Sus scrofa: one gene and its partners. The protein of the gene in region 1 interacts with the protein of each later gene in a pairwise test. Links are inferred from orthologs where the notes say so. Each region holds a gene or a part of one and is shown on either strand. Other genes may lie near its edges.

What was found.
Region 2: the proteins of TSEN54 (region 1) and CLP1 interact in binary tests that used the Homo sapiens proteins (3 or more experiments, as listed by UniProt). The link is inferred for Sus scrofa from reciprocal best matches to the Homo sapiens genes TSEN54 and CLP1.
Region 3: the proteins of TSEN54 (region 1) and TSEN2 interact in a two-hybrid assay, tested with the Homo sapiens proteins (2 studies listed by BioGRID and IntAct). The two-hybrid records come from large-scale screens. The link is inferred for Sus scrofa from reciprocal best matches to the Homo sapiens genes TSEN54 and TSEN2.

Annotation. Positions count from the first base shown.
Region 1 is NC_010454.4:5,845,836-5,851,024, forward strand, and holds the end of TSEN54 (tRNA-splicing endonuclease subunit Sen54), read right to left. Parts: intron 4,933-5,189; coding exon 4,837-4,932; intron 4,636-4,836; coding exon 3,992-4,635; intron 3,055-3,991; coding exon 2,994-3,054; coding exon of another isoform or gene 2,990-2,993; exon of another isoform or gene 2,982-2,989; intron 2,666-2,981; coding exon 2,549-2,665; coding exon of another isoform or gene 2,497-2,548; exon of another isoform or gene 2,492-2,496; intron 1,844-2,491; coding exon 1,693-1,843; 3' UTR 1,335-1,692; downstream 1-1,334.
Region 2 is NC_010444.4:13,281,506-13,287,686, forward strand, and holds CLP1 (polyribonucleotide 5'-hydroxyl-kinase Clp1), read right to left. Parts: upstream 3,704-6,181; 5' UTR 3,557-3,703; intron 3,387-3,556; exon of another isoform or gene 3,317-3,386; intron 2,839-3,316; exon of another isoform or gene 2,819-2,838; 5' UTR 2,797-2,818; coding exon 2,191-2,796; intron 1,788-2,190; coding exon 1,116-1,787; 3' UTR 652-1,115; downstream 1-651. UniProt on the Homo sapiens protein: Polynucleotide kinase that can phosphorylate the 5'-hydroxyl groups of double-stranded RNA (dsRNA), single-stranded RNA (ssRNA), double-stranded DNA (dsDNA) and double-stranded DNA:RNA hybrids. dsRNA is phosphorylated more efficiently than dsDNA, and the RNA component of a DNA:RNA hybrid is phosphorylated more efficiently than the DNA component.
Region 3 is NC_010455.5:68,507,204-68,513,284, forward strand, and holds part of TSEN2 (tRNA-splicing endonuclease subunit Sen2), read left to right. Parts: intron 1-2,314; coding exon 2,315-2,453; intron 2,454-6,081.

The DNA of each region.
Region 1 (5,189 bases):
ACAGGTGTCTTTCTCCTCGTCGAGCGGAACGACGGGATCCTGGGCGAGGCGAGCGGACTTGGGCGCAGCCCTCCCCACCCGGCACAGGGAAGCCAAGGGTCCTGGCCCTCCCCTGCCTCCTCGCCCAGAGTGGCGGGAGCCCCGAGGGGGCGGGCCCTGCTCATTAGGTCCCGGCTCGCACCTCACCTGGAACCCCAGGCCGGCTCCCGCCGGAGGCCTCCGCGTTCCTCAGCGCCCGCCGCCGGCTCTGTTCACCCTGCCGCCGGCCCACGGGCTGCTGGGCGGCCGTCTCCTTCCTGCTCACCTCCGGCGCGGCGAGCTGGGGGCGGAGCCGCCTCTATTTACATAAAGGGCGAGCCGGCCCGGCGGGCGGAACCCAGAGAGAGCGTCGGGCCCCAGCAGCCCGCCCCCCGAGCCTGGCCCCGCCTCCTGAAGCCCTGCGCCGTCGAGGCGGGGGCGCAAGGAGTGCGCCCTCGAGGGGCGGGGACCGCGCCCTGGCCAATCCGCGGCTCCCGGGAGCGCGGGGGCGGGGCTGCGACCCGTGTGAATATGCACGAGGCACTGCCGGCCCGCCCCTGACCTCACCTGCGCGCACCTGGCCGCAGGACGGCACGCCGCGCCCAGTGTCCCGCCGCCTCCCGGGGAGGAAAATAGTTCCCGGAACGCGAAGTGGCTCCGGGCCACCTTCCAGGCCCAACTCCATAAAGGGGGAGGTCCCTCCCACAACCCGGTCCGGAGCGGCCCCGAGGGAGGGGCATAGCCTGGCTGGCTCTTCCTGAAAGCGCCCAGCCCAATCAGAGGGTGACGTCTGACACAGGGCCAAGTTTCGGGACCCAAGAGCCAGGTGGCTTGGGGAGAGAGGCGTCGCCAAGAGGCGCCTCCTCTCTGGGTGGGCCCCAAGCCTGTACCCTCCTACAAGTCGTTGTCACCAGAGGCCCCGAGGGCCAGCAACTGTGACCGGAGTTTTTAGCATGACGAAGGCCGGGAGCAGAGGTCTGGGCGTGCATGGCGCGCTGCACCACACAGCTCCCAACGACTAGGGTTCGGGCCATTCCTCCACCCGGACCTCCGCTGCGTTTAGGGGAGGACCAATGGGTGCCAGCTTCCCTCCTTGGGCTACCCTTCTGAAAGCCAAGCTAACTACAGGTCTGGGACTTCCCTCAGATAGGCGAGGGGTCGCATTCCTGCCCTCTTAGCTCTTGCCCGCGAGAAAGCAGCGCTCTCTGTGGGTGGGCAAAGCAGGGGTGAGGGCCTGGGGGCCCCATCCTCGGACAGTGGGATGGTGGGGATAGGGAGGCCTCATCCAGTATACTCAGTCACAGCAGAAAAGGGGATTTTTTTTTTTTTTTTAATGGCTTTGGCTGTATCGCTTGAAGCAGGCACCCTCTCAATTAAAGGCACAGAGTCCTCTCTTCTGCCCCACCTGGCTGGGTCTCTGAAATCTAGTCCTGAGTTTGCAGGGGATCACTGCAAAGCAGCACTCTCAGACGTGGGGCTTGGAAGCGCTGCAGCAGCCAGGCAGGGGGCAAGGCTTTGCTCTCCTGCAAGCGCCAGACACCCGGGGCCAAGGCCCAGACTAGCCCCTGAAGCTACAGATCAGAGTCTGGGTGTAGGAGGCAACTGAGATGGTCCCTGAGAGTAGACAGTCCAGGTCCCCCAGAGCAGACCCCAGGCCCTGCCAGAGCTGCGTGGTCAGTGTTCCACATCCTTGGGCAGCGTGAAGTCCCTGACGCTGTAGAAGGAGATGTCTCCGTGATCCACCAGGGCAAAGATCAGAGGAACATCCCCGCTCTGGTAGGACAACCGCTTGAGGGTGCAGAGGTCTGGGACTGGCTCATCAAATCTGCAAGAATCAAGGTGAGACTGAGACCTGAACAGGGGCTGCCCATAAGATTTGAGAATCCAGCCCTCAGAGTTCCCATCGTGGCGCAGTGGTTAATGAATCTGACTAGGAATCATGAGGTTGCGGTTCGATCCCTGGCTTTGCTCAGTGGGTTAAGGATCCGGCGTTGCTGTGGCTCTGGTGTAGGCTGGCAGCTACAGCTCCGATTAGACCCCTAGCCTGGGAACCTCCATATGCCGTGGGTGCGGCCCTAGAAAAGGCAAAAAGACCCCCCCAAAAAAAAAAAAAAAAAGAACCCAGCCCTCTGAAGCTCCCAGGGAAGGGAAGCTCTCACACAGCAGTCGGGGTGCAAGAGGTCTGGCCCCTGGGCTCTCCTGTCCGCAGACTGCATGACTCTGCTAAGATTCAGAGCCCTGGTTGGGTAAGGGGACTCTTAGCCTGAAAATCCCTCTGATTCACATCCCTTCTGCTGAGTTGAGCCTGGGACTAAAGTGGCACAGGAGAGACGACTCAAAAATGCCAGGAATGAGAGCTGAGGACTGGCAAGCTTGGGTGCCCATAGCGCTCATCGGCTCTGAGGCCTCGCTCCGGACCCCTGGTTCTTCTCGGGGACTAACAACTAGCCAGGAGCACCGAGAGGAGGTCCACCTGGTTTACAAGAGAACTGGCGGCAGCCTGGGAGCAGTGCTCACTGGTCTCTCGTACCCACTAATGCACATCCGAACGTAGGGCTTGCCGGGGTTATTCTTTCGGAACGTGGCCACAGCGTCAGCCTGGTAGACATCAAAGCTGATCTCCAAGCCTCCAGACTTCTCGAGCAGCCTGAGGACCGTGAGAAACCTTAGGAAACAGGGGCTCTCTCCCCCACTTTTTCTTTCCACACCACCCTTTCCTTCCCTCAGGTCCAGGGAACAGCCCCCCCAACCCATCCCACCCAGGGGCACCGAGGAGCCTCAGCTACCTTATCTTGGAACCCTGGGGATGACTGTCTGTCACTCCTCCCTCTCCCCTGGACACACGTGAACGTTAGCCAGAGTAGAGGGTCCCTGGAATGCTCCCCCAGCTCCTGCCCAACTTCAGGAGTCCCATCCCAGCTGCCGACTCTTGGCAGCCAAAGTACTGTGGAGTCAGGCACTACCTGGAAACTCACCGGGCACCTCCATCGGCAAGGTGTGTTGTCTGCAGCACAGAGATAAGCTGAAGGGCTGTGGCTACAAAGATGGTGAAAGTTAAGGCGTGGGTGAGGGGAGTCATCCACCCAGACTTCCCTGACATTTCTGAACCTGCCATCTAGTTTAGGGTGGCCAGATTTAGCAGATTATTTATTTATGGCCATGCCCGCAGCACGTGGAAGTTCCCCGCCAGGTATCGAACCCTGTGCCACAGCAGTGATAATGCTGGATCCTACGCCACAGCTCAAGGCAATGCTGGATCCTTAACCCACTGAGTGAGGCCAGGGATCAAACCCGCCTCCTCATGGATCCTAGTCGGGTTTGTTGCCACTGAGCCATGATGGGAACTCAATGCTGGATCCTTAATCTGCTAAGCCACCATGGAATTCTGCAGGGTTTTTTTTTTAGTAGTTGCTGTTTTAGTATTAAGTATGTCCCATCCAACATTTGGAACATATTTATACTAAAAAATAGTTATCTGAAATTCAAATGTAACTGCCCTGGCAACCCTACTCTAGTTACTTACAACTCACCATGTTCCCCCAAGGATTAAAAGTAGTTTTGAATCTGATAATACCATTCCTGCCTTACTAGTTCTCTACTCTTAAGTGCAGGGCGTACAGGAAAGCTTCCTTTTATTTGGCCAACGTTATCAGCTCCCTGTTCCCTTCTAACGGAGGAGGGAGAACAGGGGCCGCAGCCGGCTGGTGGCAGGGCTGTCCACATGCATCTTGTTTATATGATCTTAAGGACGAGGTTGCAGTTTTCGTTTCTCCTCACCTCTCCCTGGCCACTGATTTACCCTTTCTAAACCCTCCCGCCTGGGGCTCTTTGCTGCTCCCCAGGACGGACCATCCTGTGGGTTCCACTCCCCCAACAGCTCTCTCCTCCCCCATCCGCCGAGGTCAATCCGAGCCCCTCTCAAGGGCTCGCGATTCCTCAGTGGCCAGCGGCCTACGGCAGGGCAAGGGGGTACCTGGGGAGTCTGCTTGACCAGGACTCAGCAAGGGGGTGACAGCCTGGTCCCAGAGGTGTGGGGGGCGGCTCTGGGTCTTCTGCAGGTGCCGCCTCTGCAGCAGCTGCTTGTACTCCTGCCAGCTGGAGCAGCGCTGCACCTCGGGATCTGAGTTCACGTCCTCCCGGAAGTGCTGGGCCTCTGCCTGCTGCTCCCGTTCCCGCCTGGAGAGCTTCTCCTTCCGCTGGTTGAGCTTCTGGCACCAGGGCTCGGCGTCCGTCTCCCGCCCGGCGACATTGGCCGGGAGCAGCTCTGGCGCGGGGGCAAGCAGGAGGGTATGGCGGCCGTCTGAAGCCATGTTGGGGAAGGAGATTTGCTCAAAGTTCCAGCGTGGCTTACACGGCCCCTGGACCCCATTCTCTACTTTGCCACTCTCCTGGCTGCACCGCACCCCCTCCCTGGGCAGACCAGGGCAGGGCTCCAGGGACCCCAGAAGCTGGGAGGGGCCCTCTGGGCCCTTTACAGGGCTTGACTCCTGGGGTTTCTCCTCTGGGCATCGGCTGTTCTGGTTTCGGGGAGGTGGGCTGGAGGTTGCCAGGCTCTCGGGTGTCCCATCCACCCCCTGCAGGGGGTTCTCCAGGGCCTTGGGCTTCTTATTAATGGACCTGAGGGACGTGGGGAGGAAATGCAGCACATCTGCTCCTGATGGCTGAGGTGCACGTGACCCACACGTGCCCTGCTGCCTCCCTGAGCCTGGGCCGGAGCCGCCCGAGCCCCACTCTTAAGCCCAGGCATTCTCCAAGGTCCCCAACACCAGCACTCCGCCACCGGCTCGCCCTGGGCGGTGGCCACATGGGGAGCATTACCGAGAGCTGGCGCTCCTCCTCTTCCTCTTGCCGTGCCGATCCTCCAAGTGCTGGCCGTCCAAGTTCAGCTGCCTCTCGTAAGGGGACAGGACGGAGCTGTGGGGTGAGAATGGGGTGGGCCACAGACCCACTGCTCAGCCTGGGGCTCCCAGCGCAAAGCGTGAGGGACTGGCCCAGAGAAAGTGGGTCAGGGTCAGAGCCACACCCAAGGGCTAAGGCCCTGGGCAGACCTGCGCACGGGGAACACGGGGGCAGCCACCAGGGCCTCTGCGTCTCACCAACGGCACCTCTGACCAGAGGTTCCCTGGAACCAGGGCTCCTGCAGAGCCAGCAATAAAGGACTAATCACTGGT
Region 2 (6,181 bases), on another chromosome or scaffold:
AGGCTAGGGGTCTAATCGGAGCTGCAGCTGCCAGCCTACACCACAGCCACAGCCAGGCCAGATCCGAGCGAGTCTGCGTCTCACGTGTCTCAGGGCGACGCCAGATCCTTAGCGCACTTAGCGAAGCCAGAGGTCGAACCTGCAACCTCATGGTTCCTAGTCGGATTCATTTCCGCTGTGCCACAACAGGAACTCCAGCACTCATCTTTTAATATTTATTCTCTAATGTAAGCTCCGTAAGACGTTGTCTATCTTGTTCCCCCCATCTAGAATGGCCCATGTTACATGGTAGGTGTATGATGAAAATTTGTGGAAAGAATGAATGAAGAGCATCAGATACTTAATAATACAAGTCCAAACTAGGAACACTAATCATTTGCAAGAGATCAAAAAGAACAGGCTTTCCTAGCTTATCCCCTGAAAACTCAATTTACATTTTTTTGTGTTTCTTTTTTTGGCCTTGGCAGAGGCATGTGGAAGTTTCCCAGGCCAGGGATTGAACCCAAACCACAGCAGTGACCCAAGCCACTCGCTAAGCTCACAGGTGAACTCTTTGCTTTCCTTTTCTCTAGACATTCAACAATAAGTTACCCCAATAATGTTTCCACAATGAGGAAAAGAACAAAATTAAAAAAAACAACTTATACCAACTTCTGTGATATGGCAAAAATATTTATTAAAATAGTTTTTTTTCCCAAATATGAACTTTATTGGAAGGAGTCCTTCAAATTCACTCTTTCACCCTGCATAAACGAGATAACAAGTACTATATACAGAATATAAAGCAGTAATATTAAAAAAAAAAAATCCCTCCTCAGAATTAGTCCACATAGTAGCACAGTGAATGAAATGGGATTTTTCTGGAACTCAAAGAATTCAAAGTGACACCTTAGGTAATCTAAGAAACCAATTATATTCTTACAGTTTTCCTTTTGGTTCAAGATCAAAAGGGTTAGGTTATTATCACCTGTTTTAAGAGGTAGAATATATGCTTTCTGCTAGTCCATGACTTACTGGTCAGCCTGGTCTCAAGAGATTCCCACACTTCACCCATCTGCCTTTGTGATGGCCAGGAGATCTCTACGCCCCCAAGCAGCAAAGCTTCCTGCTGATCTCTACTTAAGATCCATGAACCGGATATCCATGATGAGAAGGAAGTTCTTAGGCAGGGGGCGGGGGGCTGGGGAGAGCACAGTAAACACTTGATGCTCCAGGTCCACACTGGTCACCACAATGAAGCCAGCCACACTGGTCTCAGAAAGGTTCTCCTCTGTGCCCTCGGCAGTGCTAACACTCAGGAGGTGGTGCACCATATCTCGGCCAGGAGTGACAGGGACCAGCTTGAGCTGATTGTCCTCCTGAGACATGCCCAAGGGCAAACAGGAGTCTGGGATGGTGGGTGCCCCGACTTTGTAGATTTTCACATCTGAAAATTTGACGTTAAAGGCGTGGGGATAGAAACAGCCCCGGAATCCGTAGAAATACTCACGGATTCGTTCATCCCTACATTCCCGCCGGAAGTCCTTGGAGCGCTCAACCACACCCCCTGATTTAGGGAGCAGCACAGTGCGTACGAAGTGAGGCAGGTCTCGTTTCAGCTCATTGTACAGTCGTTCTTGATCCAGGACCACAACGACATCCACCTCAAAAGCTGAGGCCGCATGCACCAGGGCCTGGTAACCAGAGCCCTTGACCCAGCCACAGGTGTTAATGACACAGCCACTCACAGAGGCCCTTCTGTTCACTTCACATCTTTGGTTGAACACATCTGCTAAGCGAGATGTAATCTGCAAAAGAAAGAAGCAAAGTGAGGAAAAAAAAACACCAAAAGAAACAAACCCAAGGCTATTTTATCTTTCTTTAGAACAAGTGGTATCAGGTATAAGAAAAATGACATTTTTCATGGCTGTGGTTTTGACCCCGTAACATGGATTTAATTTTTATTTTGCGTTGCTTCTTCTGTCTCCTCTGTTTCATGTCCGAAATGGAAATTTAATAAATTACTTAAGAATGGGTCCGCAGAAACGTTTAACAGTTTGAGATGGACTTATTTTCAAATTGTCTTTCCTAAAATCATGGAGCAATATACCAGCCGAGAGGGAGCAAAGAGTTTTAATTAGCAAACTTCTGCACAGTTTTCAACCCTGACAGCAGCCCTTCCCTCCACCCCACCTTGGCCCTGGCTCTGACCTTATTATAAAGCTTGATGTTGGTTCCAGGAGTGGTGGAACCAAAATGATACACCAAAGGAGCCTGGATGGAGAATCCCTCTTCAACATCTGCTGGCCGTTCAATGTAGAGGGCCCCCATGGTACCAGGGATGGACACAGAGCCCTGGCCTACATCCAGCTCCACGTAAGTGGGACGGCGGCCCAAGCGCACTGCATAGTTGAGCAGTAGACGGCACACTGTGGACTTGCCCACATCAGTGGGGCCCACTACCATCACCCGGGGACCTCGCTCTTCTTCCTTCTCTGCCTGCCTCCGCATCTGCTCCAAGGCAGTGTGAGTGTTGAGATAAAGCAACATAGGGGTGTCTTTGGAGACATAAGCCACCTCGGTGCGACCACTGAGCTGTAGCGAACAGCCATGCCAAGTGAAAACAGCCACCTTGGCACCAGCATCAAAGGTGAATTTCTTGTTTCGGGTCAGCTCTGTGCCAAAGATTTCTGCCATGCCAGCCAGCAGCTCCAGCTGAACTGACTGAGATGCCTCCACCTCAAAGCGAAGTTCTGTTTCTCGCTCGAGTTCAAATTTAGTTGTTGGCTTCTTGTCATCATTGGCCTCCTCTCCCATCTTTTCTGCGTAGTTGTTGTGCCTAGAACACAAATGTCAGATCTAAACATAAGTTAGGACTCAGTTCAAAATCCTTCACTGGCAGTTTCTCTTTACCCTGCTTTATTTTTCTCCTTATCTCTGATCACCATCCGCTTCACTATATATTTGTTTATTGTCTGTCTACCCTCACAAGAATGTAAGGGTTGGAACTCTAGTACCTAGGATGGGGCTAGACAACCCAAAGGCACCTCTATAAATACACCGAGGGAATAAATGACTCAGAAATAAAAAGAAAGCAGTCTCTACAGATTGACAGACTTGATTTCATCGCCTTCATCGCCCCCTTCACCACTCAACTGGGATATTCCAGAGTTGAAAAGGCAACAGATGGCCACTCCCTAAGCCTCTTAGTCAACAAGAAAGGCGTTAGTAATTCGATGTAAAGCAGAGAATATCGGTTTCCGGTTTCCGACTTAGAAAACAGAATTAAGGCCCTGCTCAGCAACTACTAGGTAGTGTCTTTAGAGAAATCAATCACCTCTTCCTCAGTTGTCAACTGGAGGCACTTCCCCTTCCACACACAAAGTTCTGGGGATTAACAGGGATTGCTGGAGGAGAAAAAAAGTTCGTGAACTAGAAAACGCCGAGGAAAAGCGAAGAATTATCTCTGATCCCAGACCGCAGCTCTAAATCCAGCGTTTGTCCTAGCCTCCCTAGACAGTGAAACCTGTCCACGCTCCAAGGAGGCGACGGTGCGTTCCTAAGCTTATTACCTTACCTGTACAGGCACGAACCCAACCTTGTAAATCAAAAAGCCCTCCTAGGCAGAAACTCAGACCAACTGCTAACCGCGCTCGCCTAGATCCACGCCGGAAACTTGGGCGTTTCCTTACTTGCGCAGTAGAGGAGATGTGGACGCGCGGTGCTCCCTGGGACATGTAGTCGTGCCAGAACCGCTGCGAGCGACCACCTGGCGCAGTCGCTGGGCCTTCTGGGACTTGTAGTTAAAGGATTGTTTTGATCGTGATGTCAGCGGTGGGCGGGGCGGCGGCCGCCGAAGTTCGCGTTTCCACGGGAGGGAAGGGGGTGGAGTGGCGGTTACGCCCCCGCGCGGGGCGGGGACTGGCGGAAGGGTCAATGGACACCAAAGCGCAGAGGATGCGGATGCTCACCGCTGTTCTCCGCTCAACTGCCCTCCGGGAAGGGGAAAGACGGAGGGAAGGGGACATTATTTAGGTCCCATGGTCGCCTGGAAGCGGGGAAATTAGGGAAACTCCATTTGGATACGAGAAAACCTAGGGGTAGAGAAAGTGGAGGAAAACAGCATAAACAGAGACCAACCCGGACCTGAACCGTCACCAATTAACTGATACAGTGCTTGGCCCCTAGGGGTCATTAAAAAAATGTTTTTTGAATAAAAGTGCAAGAATTCTTCCACTTACTCTGTAAGTCAGTCATTTCCCAACAACCTCTCATTTATTTTTGGCCCCACCCGTGGTGTGTGGAAATTTCTGGGCCAGGAATCAAATCCGCGGCACAGCAGTGACCAAAGCCGCTGCAGTGACAATGCCAGATCCTTAACCTGCTGCATTACAAGAAAATACCCACTCCTCTTATTGATCAAGGTGTTTTGTTGGGAACTCTGTTTCCCTCCCTAAATCCCTGGCAGTTATACAAGGTCAGTCATTTATCCAACAAACAACAGGTTGGGCAATGTCTGTACTCTTCTGATGAGCTTGGACTTGGAATCTTGTATTCTTTGCTATGCCGCTTGCTTACTGTGGGACTTTGGGCAAATCACGGGCTTAAACTTTCTAACACCTAGTTTCTTAATTGTAAAATATGGATAAAAACAATACCCAGCCAAAATTGTTTTATTTATCTTTTTGTCCTTTTAGGGCCGTACCAGTGGCATATGGAGGTTCCCAGGCTAGGGGTCTAATCAGAGCTACAGCTGCTGGCCTATACCACAGCCACAGCAACGCCAGATCCAAGCTGCGTCTGCCACCTACACCACAGCTCACGGCTGCGCTGCATCCTTAACCCACTAGGCAAGACCAGGGATCGAACCTACGACCTCACGATTCTTAGTCGGATTCATTTCCTCTGCATCAGGAGGGGAATTCCTTAGCTCTTAAGTTTTTATTAGAGGTTGAGGAGGGGGAGCTACAAAGATGCCATCCATTTGTAGTTTACATTTCACAAAACCCTTTCAGCTATCCTCTTTCACAGCCACCTGTCAAGTCAGCTCTACTCAATTTCAGGTGAGGGAGGAGACTAAGATAGATGAAGGGACTTGCCCAAGCTAGTTCTCAAACCCAAGACTTTGGAGTTTGAGTCCACTTATAATAATAGTGAACGCACAGTGCTAGATGTCACATAGTGTTCTGTGGGCTTTACAGGGGTAAATTTAATCCTCAAAGAATCCTGTGAGGTACAAACACACTGTGATTGTCAGCTCTGCTTACAGATGCATACTTTTTTTAGTCCAGTTTACCTGGTTAATCTGGGTGGAAAAGCCTGGGGAGATTTTCTGGATTGCCTTGTTTCCCACTGGCCCTACCTTAGCATTCACTTTTTTTTTTTTTTTTTTTTGGCCCCACCTCAGGCATGCAGAAGTTCTGAGGCCAGGAATTCGACCCTCGCCCCAGTAGAGACCCCAACTGTGGCAGTGACAACACCAAATCCTTAACCCACTGCACCACCAGGAAACTCCAGCATTCACTTTCAAGAGTGACACCTTCACTTCTCACAGTTCTTTCTTTGAGGGTTTGCTTTAATTGTTTAATTCATTCTCCATGCATGTTATTAGTTCTCCAATTAACTATTAGGTATTTCCTCATCTTTCATTGATTCTTCAGCAGTTCCGTTCTGGTCTTCCATTTGCAAATTTCCCTCCGAGTCAGCTCACCCTCTCCTGTTTCCTGCAGTCTTTCTCCTAAGATCTGTTTCTTTGCCTCCACGCTCTGCCTTGAGACTGTTTCTCCCAGTTTTCTGAAGGTCATCTTTATTTGGATATTGGGTAGCCATCTCAAGCTGAATTTAGGGAGAAGAAACCCCTCCCCTCCTTTAGACCACTCTCTGTTTTGCCTCTTAAACACAGAAATAGTCGGGGCACAACATTTAAACCATCTATGTTTCCCCTGCACTCTCTTTCCTCACTTTCAATCTTTCACTAAGCACCCCAGTCATCTCTGCCCCATCCCCAAATAAATACTGTCCTCACATGTCTTTTTTATTCTCCTTTCCAGCTTAACCCTTATTTTCTTCCTGAGTTAAATCACCTGTTATCTTTTTTGCTTCTAAACTTTCGATCCTTGCTCTCAACAACTACTCACTTTCTTTTTCCCACTTCCCACTATTTTCCTCGACGAATTCCTCCTCCACTTACATTCCCCCCCCC
Region 3 (6,081 bases), on another chromosome or scaffold:
TAGGCTTTGAGTCCTGAATTGGGACTGTTCAGGCAAAAGCCAGTTTTGACCCTTTTAGACTAAATACCATTCCCAGAGACTAGGAGGAGAGCAGTATCTTACATAGCGTTCAAGAAACCTGTGTCACAGTCGTACCAGACACAAACCACAGGAACGAAAACTGCTCATGTTTAACGCCTGCTTCAGGAAGGGCTGTGAGTTGGGTACTTCACTTGCAGTACCCAAGGCATATGGAGGTTCCCAGGCTAGGGGTCCAATCACAGCTGCAGCTGCTGGCCTACACCACAGCCACAGCAACGCCAGATCTGAGCCATGTCCACAGCTTACACCACAGCTCATGGCAACACCAGATCCTTAACCCACTGATCAAGGCCGGGGGTGGAACCCACATCCTCATGAATACTAGTTGGATTTGTTACCACTGAGCCATCATGGGAACTCCCTACCTGCAGTACTTCTGATCCTTATCTCCATCTCTAAGAGTTATAGCTGAGGTCACTGAGGCTCGGGAAATAAGCAGGTCACACAGCTGGTCTGGATAGAGTTTGGGTTTGAACCTGGTTGGAGGCAGCTCCAGTGCCCGTGGTTTTGTGCTATAACTGCTGCCCTGAGAAGAACGTTAGTCCCATCATAGGTCTGTGCCAGGCCTCCCTCTGATAGAAGGATTAGGGATGGTGGCGCAGGGTGAGGGAGTGATGGGGGCTTCAGCTCACTCTACTCTGCTTTCTGAACTTTGGCCCATTGGACCACGTGAACATGTTACCTAATCAAAATAATTCACATTAAAATTAAGAGGAAAAAGGTAAGCAGAACTAGTACCCATGAAGATGCGGGTTCGATCCCTGGCCTTGTTCAATGGGTCAGGGATCCAGTGTTGCCATGAGCTACAGTGTAGGTTGCAGACTCGGCTCGGATCCCATATGGCTGTGGCCATGTTATAGGCCGGCAGCTACGGCTCTGATTAGACCCCTAGCCTGGGAACTTCCATATGCCGCAGGTGTGGCCCTAAAAAGCCAAGAAAAAAACAAAGAAAGTAATTGTAGTCTGTTCTTCAGAGTACATCTTTTTATCATTCCTCAGATTCTAACTATATACAACTTCTTCACATATTTGGAAACAGGTGTCTGACTGATGGGTGACTCATTTTTCCAGATGGTGGCCTCTGTAGCCCACCCTGCCCCCTCCCCTGGGCCTCAGCTGACATTTGTCAGAGCATCACAGCTGTTCCTCGGCCTTGGAAACTCAGGGGCTGCCCAAAGTGGAAGTTCAGTCTTCTCTACAAGACTGTTCCTTGTCTGGGGGCAGCAGGATGGGGGTGGGGTGTGGATTTGAACATCACACACACAGAATTTCCACCTTAGGAACAACTGTGTAAAAAAAAAAAAAAAAACAGCACCCAAACTCTAGTTCACATTTATGGTGTTAACGTCCCAGGCTAAAACACACTGAGTGAGTCTCACTGCATGACTGAACCATAAACCAACTGAAGAACTGATCTAGTTACTGAGTGCTGAAAACTTGTCAAACTTAGCTTTTTTTTTCTGTTACTGTTTTGACATATCAGAATGTTCTTTGAACTGAACCGGTCTCAGTGTCTTCAAGTCCCACCTTAGAAACAAGATTCTCTTCTAAGCAGTTAGGTTTTTTGTGTCATGCGATAAATTCCCTAGTTCCAAAGACTAAATGGAGCATCTTTTTTTTAAAGCTTATCAGAATTATTTTTTGACTTTTCTGGATGTGGCCTGCCATAGCATAGGTAGGTCTGTGGCCATTGGAACGTGCACCCCCAGCTTTGGGTGACACCTGGCCACCCCGTTCCTCTGCCTGGACATTTGTTCCTTTTCCTCTCCTTCCAGCACTGCCCTCTTCCCAACACGCAGGGCTTGGCTGCTCCCATCTCCAGTGCTGCTGTCTCGGGGTGGCAGGGGGAGCCTCAGACGGGAGTTACATGCATAATTGTAAATTTCCTGGGATGCACATTAAAAGGGTTTTTTTAAAAAAAAAAAATACAAAGTCAGCTGAAATTGATTTCTGTTATCAACATAGTTTATTTAATACAACACAGTCAAAATTACTGAGATAGTTCCCATTCTTGTCTTTGTAATTCAGTATGTATTTACGCTGCAGCATGTCTCAGTTCAGGCTGGCAACCACCGCACCAGACAGCACAGGTCTGGATCTTCTGGTTAAACCCTTTGTTATGGGCCCCGTGCTTGTTTATCTTCAGCTCATACTTAGTGTGGACATTGATTCCCGGGCCAGATAACAGGTGGACACATACATATTAATGCCTTGTTTTCCCCTGCAACTTTAGGAGCCTTTAACGATTGTGAAACTCTGGAACGCTTTCACCAGAGTCCAGCCTACGTTCAGGACCACGTACATGGCTTACCATCACTTCCGAAGCAAGGGCTGGGTGCCCAAAGTGGGACTTAAGTATGGAACAGATTTACGTAAGTGATTCTTGGCTTGGCAGGTGCAAGAACCAGGGTTGGCATCAGATGAGTTATATGCACTATTGCTGGGTTTTTTTTCTAAAATGATGTCCTGGCTTAGATAAGAATGTTTGGATTGCAGTGGAGGGTGTGTCCAGAATGATCAAGAAAACAGTCAAGGGGAAAAGCCTGGGATAGAAGCCCGCAGCAAGTCAGGCTTTTCTTCTTATCTGCTCTGGGATCCTAGAAGAGCCCACGGCCTCTCATTAGCATGTGGTCTAGCTGTGTCAGGCAGCCCTGATCCTCTGGAGATGATGGCAGATGTGACAGTACCATTACTAGTGGTGGTGTAACCATGGTAGTAATCACGGCTGTCACTTACTGGGCCCTTGCTGTGTGCCAAGCATTGTATGAAGTGATGAACATGCATGAACTCCTTTAATCCTCACGGCATCTTTATGAGGTCAGTGCTCATGACCCTCCATTTTCTGATAGGGAGACTGTAGTTTTGAGAGAAAGGGTCATTTGCCCCTAAAAGGTTCCAGGGCCAGTAACTACAGAGCTGGGCTCTGACTTTTGGAGCCCAGGGTCTTGGAAACTCCTACACAGTCCTACCTCCCTGATCTTTGTGAAGGTGAGGAGTCTGGATACAGGTGAGCGCTTCCTTCGCCGGGTGATTGCTGAGGGTCTCATGTGAGCCAGACCTTCTTAGGTGCTGAAAACACAGAGGTAAACAGATAGAGCTGCTTGGGTGGAGCTACTGGCAGGGGAGACCAAGAAGCCAGCACCTGAAATTACATGTACTGTGATTTCAGGGAACTAATTAAAATAAAGCAGAGTAAAGGGGCAGTCAGGGCGGTTAGAGAAGGACTCTCTGCAAGATGTGCCCCAAACATCAGCCTCAGAAATGTGACCACAGTGAGAGAATGGAACACATACAGTCTGGGGAAGAACACAGGAAGCATCAAGGAGCAGAAAGTGCAAAGGTCCTGGGGCAGGAATAAGCCTGGCCAGTCTCAGAAGCAGTACAAAGACAGTGCGTCTAGAACTTAAGAGACCCCAGGGAGTAGTGACAGAAGGTGGTGTCAGGGTTCAGCTGGGGAAGGTCATGTAGGACCTGACAAAGACCTGGGATGTCATTCTGGTAGTTGGAAGTCTTGGGAGATTTAAGTAAAGGAGTGGTTTTAAATGTAATGACAATTTAATAGGACCTTTGCTTTCTTGCTAATAGGGGCAGCAGGGAGGGAAGCAGAGGGAATAGTTCGGAAACTGACCTTGACCTGCCTACAGAAGGGATGAATATCAGGTTTGCTGTAAGAGGAATTCAGAATAATGCCTGGATATTTGGAGTTGTGTTTTGGACGTAGTAAGTCAGCCTGGTGGAGCTAGTGCAGAGATGGACGATTCTGGAGCCCAGAAGAGCCTTGAGGTGTAAACATGGAGGGTTGTGTAAGGGGCACCTGAAGCCTCCGGACTGGGTGAGTGAGCATAGACCCTTGGGGCTCCTTTCAGCCCCAATGCTGCTCCTTTGTTAAATCCCTGAACCTTTCCCACATCCACCATTCGAGGGTGCTTCCTGGGTGATCTTCAGAATTGTGTGTGAGGTTCAAACAACAATTTCAAGGTATATGAGAGGCCTTCCAGGAAGTCATGCCCCCCAGGTCTTCAGAGCTGTCCCATAATTGTTCCATATGCTTTTGAGCCTTGCCTTTTTAAATATTCAAAGAAAGCCAGTTCAAGCTTTTAGATCCTTAAATGCTCTAAAATTGAGTGTGCTTAACCTAGAATCATAGAATGGTCCCAGTAGCCCCTGAAATCTTATTCAGTATATTGTAGATTGGTGTATTTTTCTGTGTCAAGAGTCTGTAACTTTCACTAAATTCTCAGAGGGGGTCAGCAGTCATAAATAAAGGTTACAGAGTGCCCATTCCTCTAAGATAAAGGGTTCCTATTCTTGCTTCCAAGCCTGGATTTCAGGTAGAGATACCTTCATTCGGGGTCAGCACACACATGGTCAGGATCAGCTCAAGGTCAGTCTGCTAGGTTTCCAGACAATTGCAGTTGCCCACAGGTCACGTCCTTTAAATAAGTGATGTGCCTCTTTCCTTCCTTGGCTTCCCGCCCTGCTCTCCTTTTCATGTTCCTGTAGAATAGCCTCTCAGTGTAAATGCCTGTCAGGCCTTGGCCAGTGTGCTCATTATGTGGGTGAAATTTGAGCAGGATTTTCCAGTCCACAAGGCTGCAGTGATGCACTAAGAGGTGGGGGAGGGGACAGAAAGAACTCTTTGGGCTCACAGCCGGCTCTACCTTTTCCTGACTGTGTGACTTCAGAGAGGTTACTTCATCTCTCTGAGCTTCCATTCACTCATCATGTAACATGGATAACATTTTTATAAAAAAATGTTACAAGGGAGGAGACCTTTGGTGAGTTCCTGTAAGCATGTATTTTTAGTACACAAGCCACTTTTGTGGATGGTGGGTAGAGAGAACTATCCTAATTTAAAAATATACTGCCTTGGACTTCCCTGGTAGCTCCATGTGTTAAGGATCCAGCATTGTCACTGCTATGGTGCGGGTTCAATCCCTGGCCCAGAAACTTCTGCAGGCACAGCCAATAAATAAATATAAAAACAGGAGTTCCCGTCATGGCGCAGCAGAAACAAATCCAACTAGGAACCCTGAGGTTGCAGGTTCCATCCCTGGCCTCACTCAGTGGGTTAAGGATCCAATGTTGCCATGAGCTGTGGTGTAGGTCACAGATGCAGCTCAGATCTGGTGTGGGTGTGGCTGTGGCTGTGGAATAGGCCAGCAGCTATAGCTCAGATTAGACCCCTAGCCTGGGAACCTCCATATGCCATAGATGCAGCCCTAAAAAAAAAAAGACTAAATAAATAAATAAACTACCTTATAAGGATGGATGAAAGGACAAACAGATGGATAGACTTTGTTCGTTTTGTTTTTTTAGGGCTGCACCCTAGGCATATGGAAGTTCCCAGGCTAGGGATTAAGTCAGAGCTGTAGCCACTGGCCTACACCACAGCCACACCAGATCCAAGCCACGGCTGTGACCTACACCACAGCTCATGGCAATGCCGGATCCTTAACCCACTAAGCGAGGCCAGGGATTGAACCTGTGTCCTCATGGATGCTAGTCAGATTCGCACTGAACCACAATGGGAACTCCTGGATAGACCTTTTTTTAAAAGGAAATAAATACATCAGTGGCTGTCTCCCACCTCCCTAAGGCCTTTGTCCCCCCAGGAGGGGCGCGCCATGCACTTGGAGCCCCTGTGTAATTAACATGAGCTCAGGTTTCTGGCCCAACAGCACCCTGGGGACTGTCTTCACATCCCAGCTTTAGCGGAGTTCAGGAGCAGTGCTAGCCTGGGACAAGACCAGTGGCTTCCTAAACTTGACCTCTCTTCTAGGCACAGCTAAAATTATTATTTTAGTTTTGAAGGCCAGTGAAGGAAGTTTCTGCTCACAGAGGTAATGACTCCTGACAAAAGGGCCATGATGAATTCCACATCTTATCAGGGAACCTCTTCCCTTGACTAAGTCTTGTCAATCAAATTTCATACCAGGAGCAGTACTTGGAACAGGTGCAGCCACTGGGTCAGTTGGCCAGTTGACCTTGAGTGCCCAC